Linked DNA regions of Canis lupus familiaris. The protein of the gene in region 1 interacts with the protein of each later gene in a pairwise test. Links are inferred from orthologs where the notes say so. Each region holds a gene or a part of one and is shown in the gene's direction. Other genes may lie near its edges.

Evidence for each region. The genes of interacting proteins can lie anywhere in the genome.
Region 2: the proteins of CKM (region 1) and ASB9 interact in binary tests that used the Homo sapiens proteins (3 or more experiments, as listed by UniProt). The two-hybrid records come from large-scale screens. The link is inferred for Canis lupus familiaris from reciprocal best matches to the Homo sapiens genes CKM and ASB9.

Annotation. Positions count from the first base shown.
Region 1 is NC_049222.1:110,917,616-110,925,044, forward strand, and holds the start of CKM (creatine kinase M-type), read left to right. Parts: upstream 1-2,925; 5' UTR 2,926-2,974; intron 2,975-3,916; exon of another isoform or gene 3,917-4,018; intron 4,019-5,184; 5' UTR 5,185-5,203; coding exon 5,204-5,396; intron 5,397-5,861; coding exon 5,862-6,016; intron 6,017-6,476; coding exon 6,477-6,609; intron 6,610-7,429. UniProt on the Homo sapiens protein: Reversibly catalyzes the transfer of phosphate between ATP and various phosphogens (e.g. creatine phosphate).
Region 2 is NC_049260.1:11,572,807-11,580,233, reverse strand, and holds the start of ASB9 (ankyrin repeat and SOCS box protein 9), read left to right. Parts: upstream 1-2,466; 5' UTR 2,467-2,781; coding exon 2,782-2,872; intron 2,873-3,080; exon of another isoform or gene 3,081-3,095; coding exon of another isoform or gene 3,096-3,141; intron 3,142-7,427. UniProt on the Homo sapiens protein: Substrate-recognition component of a cullin-5-RING E3 ubiquitin-protein ligase complex (ECS complex, also named CRL5 complex), which mediates the ubiquitination and subsequent proteasomal degradation of target proteins.

The DNA of each region.
Region 1 (7,429 bases):
AGCATGGTTCTGGGGGTGAGAGATGTTCCTAGTGGCTCAGCCCAGAGTGTGCTCCTTCAATCCTTTCAATTATTTTGAAAGATCCTAATATCTGGGGTGAGGCCCTTTCTGCATAAACTGGGGAGAGTAGTTTCCAATCGACTGAAAAGGCTACTATTATTTCCTTAGTCAACAAATACTCATTTATCCTGAGGGCGCTGGGAAGCCACGGTGGGTTCTAAGCAGGGGTAGTCAGAAGGCAGGGACGAGGTGGGAGGGGACAGACTGGGGCTGACCTGGGGGGAGGCTAGGGTGGAAGGGAATGTGGAGAGGTCTGGAGCTAGGGTAGGAGGAAGGATGGACGGGCCTTGGAGACTGACAGGCTTTGGAGGGTTGGGGGTTGGGGTAAAGGTACACCATGGGGGTCTTGGCTCCCCAAAGCCAACTATTTCTATGAGACTCAAAGAAGATAAAGGAGTAGAGGGATCCCTGGGTGGCGCAGCGGTTTGGCGCCTGCCTTTGGCCCAGGGCGCGATCCTGGAGACCCGGGATCGAATCCCACATCGGGCTCCCGGTGCATGGAGCCTGCTTCTCCCTCTGCCTGTGTCTCTGCCTCTCTCTCTCTCACTGTGTGCCTATCATAAATAAATAAAAAAAAAAATTAAAAAAAAAAAAAAAAAGGAGTAGAGTTCATGACTGAAGTGTTGGGGGGGGTGTGTCCCTCAGCCGGGTCACATGACTAGAACGTTGCTGCAAAGGATTCTGGGAAACTGAGTTTCTGACCTTTTAGGCTTCTCTAAAGGAGGCTGTTATAGGGTGGGAAACTCTCCAAACACAGAAAGGGCTGTATGGCCAAATGGAATGTCAAATGTGCCAGTAAGTGGCTACTAGGGCTCCAGGGTGGGGGTGGGGGCTGGGCTGGATCCTGTGTGTGCATGTGATGTGGCTGGATCGTGTCTCTCCCCTGCTCACAGCCCTCAGTGGCTCCCATCCATCCACGGTGGGATGGAAACTCCTCCATGGCCCCTAGGGTCCTACAGGTCTGCTTCTATCTCTCATCTTCTTCTTTCCACTCTCCCCTCTGGCCCATCTGCTCCAGTCCTCTGGCCTCTTCCTGTCTCTCAGATATGCCAAGCCACTCCTACCTCAGGCCCTTTGCACCTGCTGTTCCCCTTCCAGATCCTCACATGGCTGGCTCTCACCTCTCCCTCAGGTCTCTGCTCAGATGTCACTTCCCCCTAGAGGCCTGACCTGACCTCCCCTGCTGTGCCATCACTCTGACCCTTTACTCTCTTTGATTTCCTGTCAAAGCCCTGTTGTCCCTGCCATGACAGCATATACTTACTTGTTCATGCTCACTACAATGTCACCTCCATGAGACCAACGGTTTTGTTGTTTTCTGCTGTGTCCCCCATAAGTGCTTAATAAAGAATTGTTGGGGCACCTGCGTGGCTCAGTCAGTTAAGCCTCTGCCTTTGGCTCAGGTTGTGAGTCCAGGGTCCTGGGATGGAGCCCAGGGCTCCCTGCCCACTGGGAAGTCTGCTTCTCCCTCCCCTCGACCCCTCCTCCTGAACATCATGCTCTCTCTCTAATAAATAAAATCTTAAAAAAAATTGTTGACATGATACATGCCTTCCTATTCTAGTCTGGTTCCTTTTAGTTCTCTGGGCCTGGAACAAGAACTTTGTCACTCTGACCTTGGTGGGAAGGGACAGTGGGTGGAGAGATCAGGGGCTAAGCCCCAAGGTAAAGTTTTCTAAGCGCCCCCTCCCCACCAGGAATCTGGGGAAAAGACAAAGAGGGGCCCCTTTCCCTAGATCAGACCCCTCCTGCCTGGGAAGAAACCCGGGAGACCCGGGAGGAGGGAGGAACCCCGGAGGGCAAACGAAGGTGTCTTCTTGGTTGTAATCCAGGGCGCTCCCTGGACTTGTGCTACAATCGGGAAGGACTGCGCTCCCCAACCCTGGAGGTCCCCGTGGGCGGGGAGCTCCTGCTCCGTGGGGATCTGCAGGCCTGTGAGTCCGGGGTGCCCAGCCCCCTTCCCCTGCGGGGCGGTCAGGCGGCTGCCCTTGTAAGGAGGCGAGCCCGGGACACCCGACACGCGGTTATAATTAACCCAGACACGTGGCGATCCCACCCCCCCAACACCTGTCCCTGCCTCCCCCCAGCCCCAGCGCCTCGGGTCTAGGTCTCTGCAAAGGCGACATCGAAGCGCCCTCTAAAAATAAGCTCCTCTCCGGGGTGAGTCCCTCTCTGTCCCCTCCGCCGCTGAAGCGTCCCAGGGTCAGCCGCAGGGACTGGAGTTTGAATCTTCTCAGCTCAGGCAAGACTCAGTTTCCCTCCCACTCACTCACAAGGAGGAAAGTGCGTCCAAACATGGATTTCTGGGGTCAGGCAGTTCTGCCTTCAGACCTGGGCCTTGGCCAAGGGTTCCCCATAGTTGGGTGACAACAGGCAAGTGTCTGGAATACCAGATACCTGGCTCTCGTGGGACTGTTGCAAGGTTTTCCCTGGGGCCCGTCTCAAGACCTAACTTTTACCCAGGTCAAGGCCACTGGGGGCTGAGGAGAGGCCGGGCCATAGGAGGGGCTGGAGGGCCAGGGGAGGGTGGCTTCTACGTGCTTGGGACGTCCCCTGGCATGGTCTCGTGTCCTGGGCAGGGGGCCAGCTGTCCTTGCCAGCCCGACTCAGCACTTGGTCGGGGAATCAGCTTGATGGGGGGCGGGTGGGGATCTGGGCTCAGTCCCTGGGGCGGCCCATACAAGGCCTGATAGGGCTGGGCGCAAGGCGTGCCTGGGCTCAGGGTGGGCACCGTGCCCGGGCAGTGAGCTGGAAGGCTCAGCTGCCTGCCCTCCAGCTCCCTTCCCTGGGGGCAGCCCCTCCCAGCCAATAGCACAGCCCGGCCCCCCTATATAAGGCCTGGGCTGCGGGCCCTTCCTTTGGGTCAGTGTCACCTCCAGGATACAGACAGCCCCTTTCTGCACAGCCCAGCCAGGTACTGATGGGGGTGGGAATCAGGGTGGGGTCCAGACCAGGCCAAAGTGTCGGGGGGTGCATGGCACCAGCAGCCGATCTGGTCTCAGGAGCCTACCCCATATCCTTCTACACAGAGGAGGGTCAGTGTGTGGGAAGGTTGACCCCGTGTCTGGGAGTCCCCTCCACCTGTGAGCCCCCCTGCCTCCCACAGGGTCTGTGGCACAGGGTCACGGGAAGGGATCTTGGAGACAAAAGGAGTTCTGACAGCTGCCAGCTGTCCCCCCTGCAAGGGGCTACAGGCTGGGCCCATGTTCATGATGGTTTGTCACCAGAACTGGGCGCCACAAGCCGTGGGAGGTGTCTGTATGTCAACTGTCGTGGTTTGCAAGAGCAAGCACTGTGGGTTCATTGCACTTGCAATTCTGTGGGTCCCTGTTGCATCCCACAATGGTGTGACCTTGTGTCTGACTTTCTGTAGCTCCTGCATGGGTGCCTGTATGTTGGGTGTGTCCCTGAGCTTGGAGGGATGTGTGTGTGACTCTGTTTACTGTGTGATCTGGGGGTTATGGGGATGTGTGTGTGGGTGTGTGTGTGTGCTTGTGTGTGGCTCTGGGGCTCCCCCCACCTTGCCTCAATGCCCTCTGCTAACATGTTCCTCGCAGGGTGGGGTGGGACACCCTGAAGTGGGGGGCGGTTCTGGGCTGGAAGCCCTGGAGCCCCGAGGCCTGGATGCGTGTCCTCCTAGCCACCCTGGCCCACCTGTCTCCGGCCTGCTGACTTGGTGCAAGTGGAGCCCCTGGAATGTGGGGGGTTGGTGGGGGAGGAGCAGTCTGCCAGATTCTATAAATAATCCCCAACCCTGGATAGTAGCTCCAAGGATCTTTCGTGAATTCCATCCGCTCCTGGCCTGATGCCTCAGCCTTCAGCTCGCCTGGTCCCGATTCCCTTCCCACCGTCCTACCTGCTTCCCATCCCTGGGGCCGCGGAGTGAGCTCCCACGCCGACCACCACCACCTCCTTCCTGGGTCCAGTAACGGCAGCCACCCCCTACGGAGCAGGCCCCAACTCCATGTGAGGGCACGTGCTCAGCCGGCCACGTGCCTGAGCCAGAAGAATCTTCTTGGCAATCCCTTAGGCCAGGCTCAGTTCACAGGCGACAGAGGCTCAGAGAGGCTGAGCACCTGGCTTGGGGTCACACAGCAAGGGAAATGGTAGAGGCAGGATTTGAACCCAGCTCTGCTGACTTCAGCTGCTGGGCTTTTCTTCTCAACTGAGCCCTGCAGGAGAGTGGTCAGCAAACAGAGGTGGGGACGGCCACGCAGCCTTCCCTTCCACCCTCCCCCTCATCCCTTGACCGAGCACCCGGGACCCTTCGTGGAGAGAGTGTCCCTTCCCTGCTTGCACATATGTTCCCAGCAACGCCCTCCACCTTCTCCCCGGCTCCTTACCCAGACTTTTAAAGTAATAGCGACGAAAATTATAATAATAGCTAAGCAAAATACAGCTTATCGTGTGCCAAGCGCTTTACATACATGAACTCCTTGAAGCGCCCCCGGAGATGAGGGTTACTATGACCCCCTTTGTACATACGAGTAATCTGAGGCACAGAGAGGTTAAGCAAGGTGCCCAAGGTCACACAGCTTACTGTATGTGACAGAGCTGGAATTCAAACCCAGGCTATCTGATTCCAGAATCTACACTCTTATCCATGCCAATATTACTGCTCCATCCCAAAGGCTTCCCCCTTCATCATTCAGCTGGAGAAGCTGTCCCTAGCAAGGTGACTCGTCTGGGGTCACCCATCAGGGTGTAGCAGAGCTGGGATCTTAACCACAGAGTCCTGATGCATCCTGTCAAGACACAGGGGCTCAGAGAGGGGCCCCTCTTGTTCCAAGTCACACAGCATATGAGTCAGGACTGGCCATCAGGGCAGCCCAGGTGGCTCATCGGTTTAGTGCCGCCTTCGGCCCAGGGCCCGATCCTGGAGTCCCGGGATGAAGTCCCATGTCCGGTTCCCTGCATGGAGCCTGCTTCTCTCTCTGCCTGTGCCTGTGCCTCTCTCTCTCTCTCTGTCTCTCATGAATAAATAAATAAAATCTTCTAAAAAATATTTAAAAAAAAAAAAGGACTGGCCATCAGGTCTTTCTGACCCCAACACCTTGTCCTGGTCCCTTGCTGGTCTCTGCTGGATGCGGGATAACCTTCTTCGCCCCCCGCCCCACCCCCCAGGCCCCCCCACGCCGCCACCATGCCGTTCGGTAACACCCACAACAAGTTCAAGCTGAACTACAAGCCTGAGGAGGAGTACCCTGACCTCACCAAGCACAACAACCATATGGCCAAAGCGCTGACCCCTGAAATCTATAAGAAGCTGCGGGACAAGGAGACCCCATCCGGCTTTACTCTGGACGATGTCATCCAGACAGGTGTGGACAACCCAGGTAAGCCTCCTTGGTGGAGCACGGACAGGGGCTTGGATGGGCGGGCGGGGCTGCCTGCCGGGGACTCTGTTTCCCCATCTGGGAAGATGAGGATCTTTCAAGCCTCTTAGGATCTGTGGGAGCTGAGAATCTAATATATTTCGAAAATTTTTCAGGGAAGAAAGAGTCCGTGATCTGGGGGCTCTCAAGTAGTAATATTTTTAGGACCTTGTAACTGACCCCCGGAGACTCTTTCTCCTTTGCCCAGATGCCACCTGGACCTTTCCCAGCCTTCCCTCCCCATACTCACAACCTTCAGTCTCTGCAGCTCCGACTCAGGTCTCGAATAAACCCCTGCTGACCACACACGCACACACACACGCACTCACACATGTGTGCATGTGCACATACAGTTTCTATAGGACCAAGGAGCCTGGGTCTTCCTTGCTGGGCACAAGCGCCTCTGACCTTACCCCAAATCCCCAGGTCACCCTTTCATCATGACCGTGGGCTGTGTGGCCGGTGACGAGGAGTCCTACCAGGTGTTCAAGGATCTCTTCGACCCCATCATCCAGGACCGGCATGGGGGTTACAAACCCACCGACAAGCACAAGACTGACCTCAACCATGAGAACCTCAAGGTCAGCTGCCCACAGGGGAGGGGAGGGATGGGGAAGAGAGGGAGGATGACGGAGGTGGGAAGGGATGCTCCAAGAGGCAGAGATGGAGGGCAGGAGGGACAGAGAGGCATGCAGGACAGACAGGGAGACCAGGACACAGCGGGGGAGACTCAGATGGGAGGAGAGACAGGGAAGAGATGAAGAGAAACCGGACGCGGGACAAAAATGGGACGGGGGAAAAGAGATGTATGGAGGAAAGGGGCAGATGAGAGGCTGGGAGAAATAGGGAGGGAGAGGCCGAGAAGGGAGAGGCCGAGCCAGGGTGGTGGTGGGAGAAGCCAGTGGGCAAGGAGGAGCCGAAGGAAGTAGCAGAGTCAGAACTGGGAGCCCTGGGTGGGGGGGCCAGGGAGGACATGGGCTTGCAGTGGAGGGGCGGCTTGTGGGGGCCGTGCCCAGCCCTGACCCCCCTCCTGCCCTCCAGGGTGGAGACGACCTAGACCCCAACTATGTGCTCAGCAGCCGCGTCCGCACGGGCCGTAGCATCAAGGGCTACACACTGCCCCCCCACTGCTCCCGGGGCGAGCGCCGGGCAGTGGAGAAACTCTCCATAGAAGGTGAGAACCCCACCCTGCCCACCACTGGGTAAATCGTGGGTGCTTGATGAGTGACAGCTGGCAGCATTACCCCTGCTGGAAGTCTGGGGGCGCTGTCAAGGAACCCTGAGCAGATCCATGCAGACTTTCAATTGCACCAGGGTCCTGACCTCCATCCATCCATCCATCCAACCAGCCAGCCAGCCAGCTAACCAGCGTTTACGGTTGTCATGGTCCTGAGTAGGGGGCCGGGGCTCCCATGATGAATAAGATGGACAAGGTCACTGTTTTCACAGAGCTGTCAGCCTGGTGGGGAGATAAGAAGAAACACAGAAACCAGCAAAAGAATGATTAATTCCAAAATGCCGTGTAGCCGAGAAACAAGGGTGCATCATAGAATGGCTGGGGGGAGCTCCCTGAGAAAGGAGGAGTTGATTGACAAAAAGGAGCCTGAAGATTTCCAGGCAGGTGGAGCAGCAAGTGCAAAGGTCCTGAGGTGGGGAAGTGTGTTGGAGGAAGAGCAAGGAGACCAGTGTGGCCAGAGCTGAGCAGACCAGGGGAGGAGATGCAGTCAGAGGAGTATGGGTGGCCTGCTTGTGCAGAGCCTTGTGGGCCATCAGGGGGGCTTTGGCTTTGACTCTGAACAGATGAAAGCCATGGGAGGATGGTGACTGGAGTAAGTTCAGACTTACATGGGCAGTTTCCTGGCTGTTGAATAGGGAACAGACTGTGGGCAAAGGTAGGAGCAGAGAGGCTGTAAGGGGCAACCACAATGGTGCAGGCGTGGGGTGAGGGATAGGCAAAGGGATGGAGAGAATGAGCGATATATTTGGGAGGTAGG
Region 2 (7,427 bases), on another chromosome or scaffold:
AGGCACTGGTGAGTGTTAAGACTGCACTTGATAAAGAATGATTGTGGCCTTACTGCTGCTTCAGGCCATAATTCTTTTTTCATACCTAACCTGGGCCAAGTTTCTGGAACAGGTGTGCGTGTGTGCACACGTACACATTGCGCACACACTGAGGACTGACTGGACGTTTCTAAGTTGTCCTTCTCTTGTTGTAAGCCAACCTATTCCTCTATAATCACAGCTCACGCACATGTAAATCAACTTTATCCTCATATAGACCCTTAAAAATGCATGACCTTCTCTCATAATGATTTTTGAATTCCTGATTGGAAGTGTGGTTAAACAGTTAAAAAAATCAATTCTCATCTTCCACTATTCACAAGAGGTGACTGACATTGTAAGCGTAGCGAGCAGGTTAAAAGCTGATTCGTTCCCTCCCAGGTACTAAGGCAAAAACCTGGAAATTTTCTTTCTTGTCATTTTGGACAATAAACTTAAATTTGAATATGGAAAAATGTTATCTTCTTGGAGTTTAATTAGAAGTAAATAAAGAAGCTGTACCATGAAGATTTCACTCAAAGAATGGCAATAATGCTCAGGATCCCCACTGTGCCTCTCTGTTTAACTCCTTGTCATCCAGTCGACATTGGGAATAAATTTCTCAGTCTCTGCCAAATACTAGTTTTATAGTTCTTCACATCTTTCCTGATGGAGTAGCGAACAACGTCTGTGCTTGTGGCCTGTTCAGTTAATTCTGCAAAGCACCGGAGGGCAATTTGGCAGTGTTTCTCTCGATCTTAAAGCAACAGCCCCTTTTTTCCCAAAATGAAATTTGTGTTGAGATATTTGGGGATTTGCATGCAGTTGTAAGCAGTGATACAGAGAGGTCTCCTGTAGCTTTGCCTGCTTTCCCCCAGCGACAGCTTTCTGCAAACCTGTAGTACAGTGGAGATCGACCCTGACACAAACCACTGATCTCATTCAGAATGCTCCAGTTTGGCTTGTACTCGCTTCTGTGTGTGTCTTTAGTTCTGTACAAATCATCTCGTATGTACAAGCACACCTCTGACCTGGCATTCCCACTCTTAGGAATCTCTTCTCCAGAAATATTTGCAGTTGTGCACAAAGCCACTTATATAAAAATATGGACTGCAGTATTTTTTTTTTTGTAGTAGCAAAAGAAATGGTAACATTCTGCCTCCATCATAGAGGAATAAGGAAAGGTTTTTGGCACAATAGGGAATGCTACACAGTAATGAATAAAGAAAGGGAGGGCTCTATATGCTAACATGGAAAGATCTCTAAGATGAAGTAAGTGTAAGAGGCCTAGAACAATATGGTAATATAATGACATTTATGTGAAGAATGTAAAGGGATAAACGTGCACGCATATGTCTGCACAGAAACGCATTTTTATTTATTTTTTTTAGATGGTGTTTTTTTTTAATTTTTTTATTTATTTATGATAGTCACACAGAGAGAGAGGGAGAGGCAGAGACACAGGCAGAGGGAGAAGCAGGCTCCATGCACCGGGAGCCCGACGTGGGATTCGATCCTGGGTCTCCAGGATCGTGCCCTGGGCCAAAGGCAGGCGCTAAACCGCTGCGCCACCCAGGGATCCCTAGAAACGCATTTTAAAACAGGAAGGACACTACCTCAGCCTGTTAACAGTGGCCGCCATGCGTTTCAGTGGAGGATCCTTAAGTCTGAAACAGTGAGGCTACCTCTGGCATTAAAAAAAAATCCGCAGTCATTTCACAGACTGTGCTTAAGACGAACTCAGAGCCTTCCCTAACTGGGAAGAAAAATGCCCTTCCACCTGGAAGAGAGGCACAGTGGGAGCCTAGGGTTGGCCATCAGCCTGAAGTGGCACCCAGGGGTGTGGGGAAACTGAGTCCACCTGGAAAGACACACGGACAAGGACCCACTGTTTTGTAAAGGCAAATAGGCGGAACCTTCCCAGGGTAAAACTTCTTACAACGAATAAAGTAGCAAGTTCCTTCCACACCCCAGCCCCCCCAGCAATCCATTTTCCAATAGCAACCATTAATTATTTATTTAGGAGTTACAATACAATGTGGGGAGGAAAGGCAAAGCCGGACACGCAGTGAAATCCTTGAAGTCAGAGGTAGGAAAATAGCAGTTCTTTCCAAAGGGACATTTTTGTTGCATATAGACACATTTTCCCATAAGAAACTCCCAGAAAAATTGAAACCACATGTGCAGATGGCCAGGGCGTGCTGTGCATGTTGCTGTGCAAGCAGTTCAGCCGGGCTGCAGCAAAACCAGCTTTCTCAGCTCGTGGGTTCTGGGGCTTTCTCAACAATGAGGAGCCCCCAAAGAACAAGCAGATCCCCGCAGAGGCAACAACGTTGCAGCGGGGCGTGGTTTCCTCCCCCCACCCTGTTCCCTTTGCTCTCCAAAAGTTACAAACTGGCTTTCCTTCCTGATAAACCAAGGCTTCCTCACTGATTGGTCTCAGTTTGGGAAAGGACGTGACATCAGCAACTTTGCCGACTTGGGGCTGGGGGGCCCGCTGTGGGCTTTGGCCGACCTCCAGCCGGCTAGGTGGAGCGTGTGCGTGCGTGTGTGTGTGCGCGCGTGTGTGCCTGGGCGCGCGTCCGTCTGACCACAGGTAGTGCTCGGATTACCCTGCCCATTCTGTGCTCTGCTGTTCTCTACCGTCTGAGCAGGACGGTGCGGCCGAGGCTCCGGAATTCCCAGCAGCAGAAAGAACATGGAATTTGGACTTTCCTGAGCAATTGAAGTGGAACACGGAGGTTGCCCGGCTCCGGGGGCACCATGGACGGCAAGCCTCCAGGCGGGACCAGCAAGTCTCTGAGGCCGGGAGGCCCGCCCGACACCAGGCTCCTTTCCAACCCGTGGATGGGGGGTGAGTCCAGGGGCCGTGGGACCAGAGCGCGGGGAGGCTGGCTAGCGGGCTTCGAGAGGAGAGGGCGGGGTGGCTCCGGTGGCCCCGCTGGGGTGTGTCCCCGGCTTGTCAGCCAGACATCCTCCGCTCGGATCAGGGGGTACACCTCCTCTGCGGAGTCCTGGACACCATCCGAGGCCAAGTGGCACAGTTTATTCACCGGTAAAAACTTCAGCTCCGAAGAATGATCCTTTGTGGGCCAGATGGAGCCCGTATATCACATCGGAGGGGTAAAACTTCTAATAGGGTATTTTTACTGCCGAGACATTTATCAAAAGGTCTCAGGTATTTGGCATTTAGGCGGGGCTGGGTTTATAAGTGATGTCCCAACACTGAGCGCTGATCGATTCACTGTAAAAGGAGACTTTTTCTTTCTTTCTTTTTTTTTAAACTTCAGAGAAGCATCTTACAGGCGTAATTCTCACCGGTCGGGTGGTGTCTTTGCTAACTGTAGAGTCTCGTGCCTCTGGGCAACTGTCATTTTTTGGTGAGCATCCAGCAGGTGCCTGCTGACTGAAAGGACTGTAAAATGGGTCTGAGCATGAGGCTTCAGATTCATATTGTTAGCAAGGCTGCCCACGACACGGGTCTATCAAAGGGGCAGTATGCAGGGACCCAGCAGTCAGGTAGGACTCACTACTCTCCTGTGGCACAGCTGCTGAAAGGGAAAACAACAGAAGATACAAAATACCACATGCCTTCCCTCCGACTAACTGAGCAGACAGGACTGCTCATCCATTCATTCACTATCCAGTTTTGCTTCTAAAAGGAGCAGGGCACTCGACAGATAGGATCTGGATCCCCGAAGGCAGAACTGGATTAATCAGATTTTTTGAGCACAAGCTTGGAGTAGTAGAAAGCAGCGTGGCACCAAAAATTACTTTTAAAAAAATGAATGCGATAAATGTATCATTAAAGCAGCAAATTATATTTCCAAGTTCAAGTGGGAAAGAATCAGTAACCTGGATGAGTTCCACATGATTATTTTACACCTAAGTATTGTTTATTTTTATTTCCACTCGTGGGAGGGGGGCGGCCACTTTTCTCTGATTACGGTTTCTAAAGGTCCTAATCCAACTCCATGTGGGGCAGGATGGGTGAGTGGGGGTGGACAGGTGTCCATATGCTAAAGGGTATGGTGCTTCGAAACTGAACACATTGTCACAACTAGAATGCAGAGTCTTAGGGAATCTGCTGAGGACAAGTTTGGAGAGCTCGAACTCAATAACAGAGCTGCAAAGGCTCGGTGGAGTTAAGCCTTCATAAAGCAGGGAATTGGGAGCCATCGATGGTTCTGGAGTGGAGACCTGGCAGTAAGGAAGACTGTAAGTAAATGAATCTGGTGGCCATGTTCAGGATGGATTGTGGGATTACGGGAAATTCTTGCACGAATGCCCAGGTTCTCCAACTCTCTCATGTGTTGGTGTCACCCAGAGGGTTTGCTCACATGCAGATGACTGGGCCCCACCCCCCAGAGCTTCTGATGCTCTTGTAGGCCTGGGTGGAGCCTGGGCATATGCATTCCTAATAGGCTCCCGAGTGATGCTGGTGGTGTTGTTTGGGGCTTTGAGAACCAGGCACTCACTATCTAAGCATGGGGCTTACATTTGGATCGAGCTTTGGAAATGACAGAGGAAGGGGAAACAAGGGTGACAGTTTCAAAGGAAAGAGCAATCAGGCTATGCTGCTTGATTAAATATCGGGACTAAAGGAGGGAAGGCAGCTGAAACTGTAAAGTTTTTAAGCTTAAATGAATGGCAGCCAAGGGGGTTGGGAAGCCGAGACCTCTGAGTGTTCTGCGGGGGCTGTGCTGAAATCCTGGGAAAGGAGAGCTTGTCTGATGGCCCAGAGCAGAGAGCCATGGATGGAGCCCCGGGCCAGGCCTGCAGCTGAGCATGCAAGACCGGTGAGTTAGAGAAGCAGAAAGAGATTTGGGTGTTGTCATTTCCCAGGAACTAAAGGATGAGAAGTTTCCAAAGAAGCAGAATCACACGGGCAGATGGCAGGACACCTCGGCTCTCCTGCCTCCTTGTCCTCTGCACCTGACTGGCCAAGTCCCCCTCACCTTCTGCACCCGGCCCAGCCGCTGCCACCACGAAGCCCTCCCAGACTCTCTGCCGCTCCCTTCCTGAGTGGGGTCCAGCTCCCACTGCTTTGCGTCAGCCCTGCCCCTCGGGCGCAGCCTCAGTTCTGGCCCAGTTGCATTTGTTTATGCTTCTAAAGTCCTGACCTTGGTGAGGTGTGGAATGTGGGCCCCTCCGGAGCGCTATTTCCGCAGGGCCATGCCGGGGCACAGCTCAGGTGAAGCGTATCCCCTGGCACAGGGCCAGGTCAGAGGTTAACCAGGGCCCAGGTGTGCTTCCTCTTGGGGAACGTGGCTGCTCCCTTTCTCACTTGCAGGTCTTTCTCCGCCTCCTCTGGACGAAGGGAGGAAAGGACGTGCAGATGGCAACCAGCTCTTCAGAGAGATTTGTTCAATGATTCAGTCCTCTGCCAGGAGCCCCCCCCCGCCCCCCCAAAAAATGTCTTTTTCTTTCCCTGAAAATACCATGTTATGGGTTGAATTGTGCCTCCCCAAAAGATACGTGGGAGCCCCCACCCCCAGTACCTCAGAACGTGTCCTTGTTTGGAAATGGGGCTGTTGGAGGTGTCATCAGTTCAGGTGAGGTGATACTGGAGTCCGGCGGGCCCTAATTCAATGACTCGTGTCCTTAGAAGAGGGGAGACAGGGAGAAGGCCTTGTGGCAGCAGAGGCAGAGATTGGGGTGACACGTCTAACAAGCCAAAAAGCCCCAGCAGCGCTGGACGGCTACCACCTGAAGCTAGAAGAGGCAAAGAAGGAAGGATTCTTCCCTGGAGCCTCTGGAGAGAGCATGGCCCTGATGACGCTGTCGTGTCTGACTTCTCACCTTCAGAACAAGATGGCAAGGAATAGATAGTTGAGGCCCACTTGGTCATGGCGGCTCTAGGGAGCCCATTCGTACCTATTCATAGAGACTTTGGAAGAATACACGGAGGCAGAGACTAAACACCACCCAGAAGCCCCTGAGCAGGTGTTTGTAGAGAAATTGCTTTCCTCAGGAGATTGAGGCCACCCTGTAGACAGTGGGCTCCCATCGAAGACAGGTGCAAGCAGGCATGGAAGGGCCGCAGTCCCCCACTCTCGTGGATTTTTAGATCCCAGGGTGAGGGTTTCTGTGGGGACACCTGCCTGCTCAGACAGAAGGGGTGATCTCTGAGGTCCCCGTGGAGAAAGCAGCCTGAGAGTGAGCCAGACAGAGAGCGAGAAAGAAGACGCTGGGCGTTGGGACTGGAGAGAGAATGACAGTGGGCAGGTCTGACTGGCCCACCAGCTGCCTCAGTGGGCCTTTCTGTTTCCGGTTTCTGACCACGAGCCTCTGTCTCTGTTCCTCCTCTTTTTGTTTGTCCTGGAACCCAACCAGGGTGCATCGGATTTGTAAACACAGCGCCCAGATCGTGGGCAGTGTTGGCGCCCAGCGCCGGGCCTCCCTTACCACATCCCAGAGGCCGAAGGCAGCCGCCCCCGCCGCCTCGGGCCCACTCAGCCTCCCTCTCTGCCCCTTGACCTCGCAAAATGTTTCTCAGGATGGAGATAGATCTATGCCACTGCCTCAGAGCTTCGTTAGTAGCTCTTTTATATATATATATATATAGTAGCTCTTTTCAGAATGTACCAATTAGCGCCTTTAAAATCCCTTCTGAAATAATGGAATTAAAAAAAAATCATTCCAGAATGCAATAAAAGTGAAATAAATGACAGACTTCCTAATGCACTGCGGGGTTGGATGGAGACTCGATCTAAAAGAAAGGTAGGTTTAATGGCACTAATTGGAGGCCTGGTGGGGCGGGTTAGGAGAGCTGCACTAGGGCATCCGTGGCGTTGCCGGAGACCCCAGTGGGCATCTCTTTTCTGGCAGTAAAACCAGTAGGCCCCGGCTGGGCGAGTGCAGGGGAAATCCTTAGCACATACTCAGGGCCTGGACGGTGTCTTGTGTGCAGATAATGGTCCTGAAGTTTCAAAGTCGGTGGTGGGGTCAGTGGAAGAGGGGATGGTGACCTCGAGTCACCTCTCCACCCAGTCCCCTACTGTGAGCATTTCCGTGTTCCGGAGGCAGCAGGTCCCCTTTGCCCTGTGTGCTCTCTTAGCAGGAAGGCAGGCAGAGCCGCTTCTGGGCTTAATTGCACATGTCGTCTGTAGCTCATTGCCTGCTTGGGTGTGGGCTCTGGACAACCCTGGAGAAACCTCTCCCTGACTTTCCCAGGCAGGAGCACATGAGATGTAGGTCTCATCCATCTCTTCAGTGCTTTCAAGAGCTAAAGAGAGTGTATGGACTAGTCCACGTGGCAAATTATGGCGTTTACTAAACCGTGTGTATGTCTAGGTACATCTCTCCATGCTCTCACTGCTAGACAAATGTTAACCTATCCCCTGTCACGATTTTAAGTTCTTACATAATCACTCAGTTGTTCAGACACCTGCTGAGGCTGACGTCCT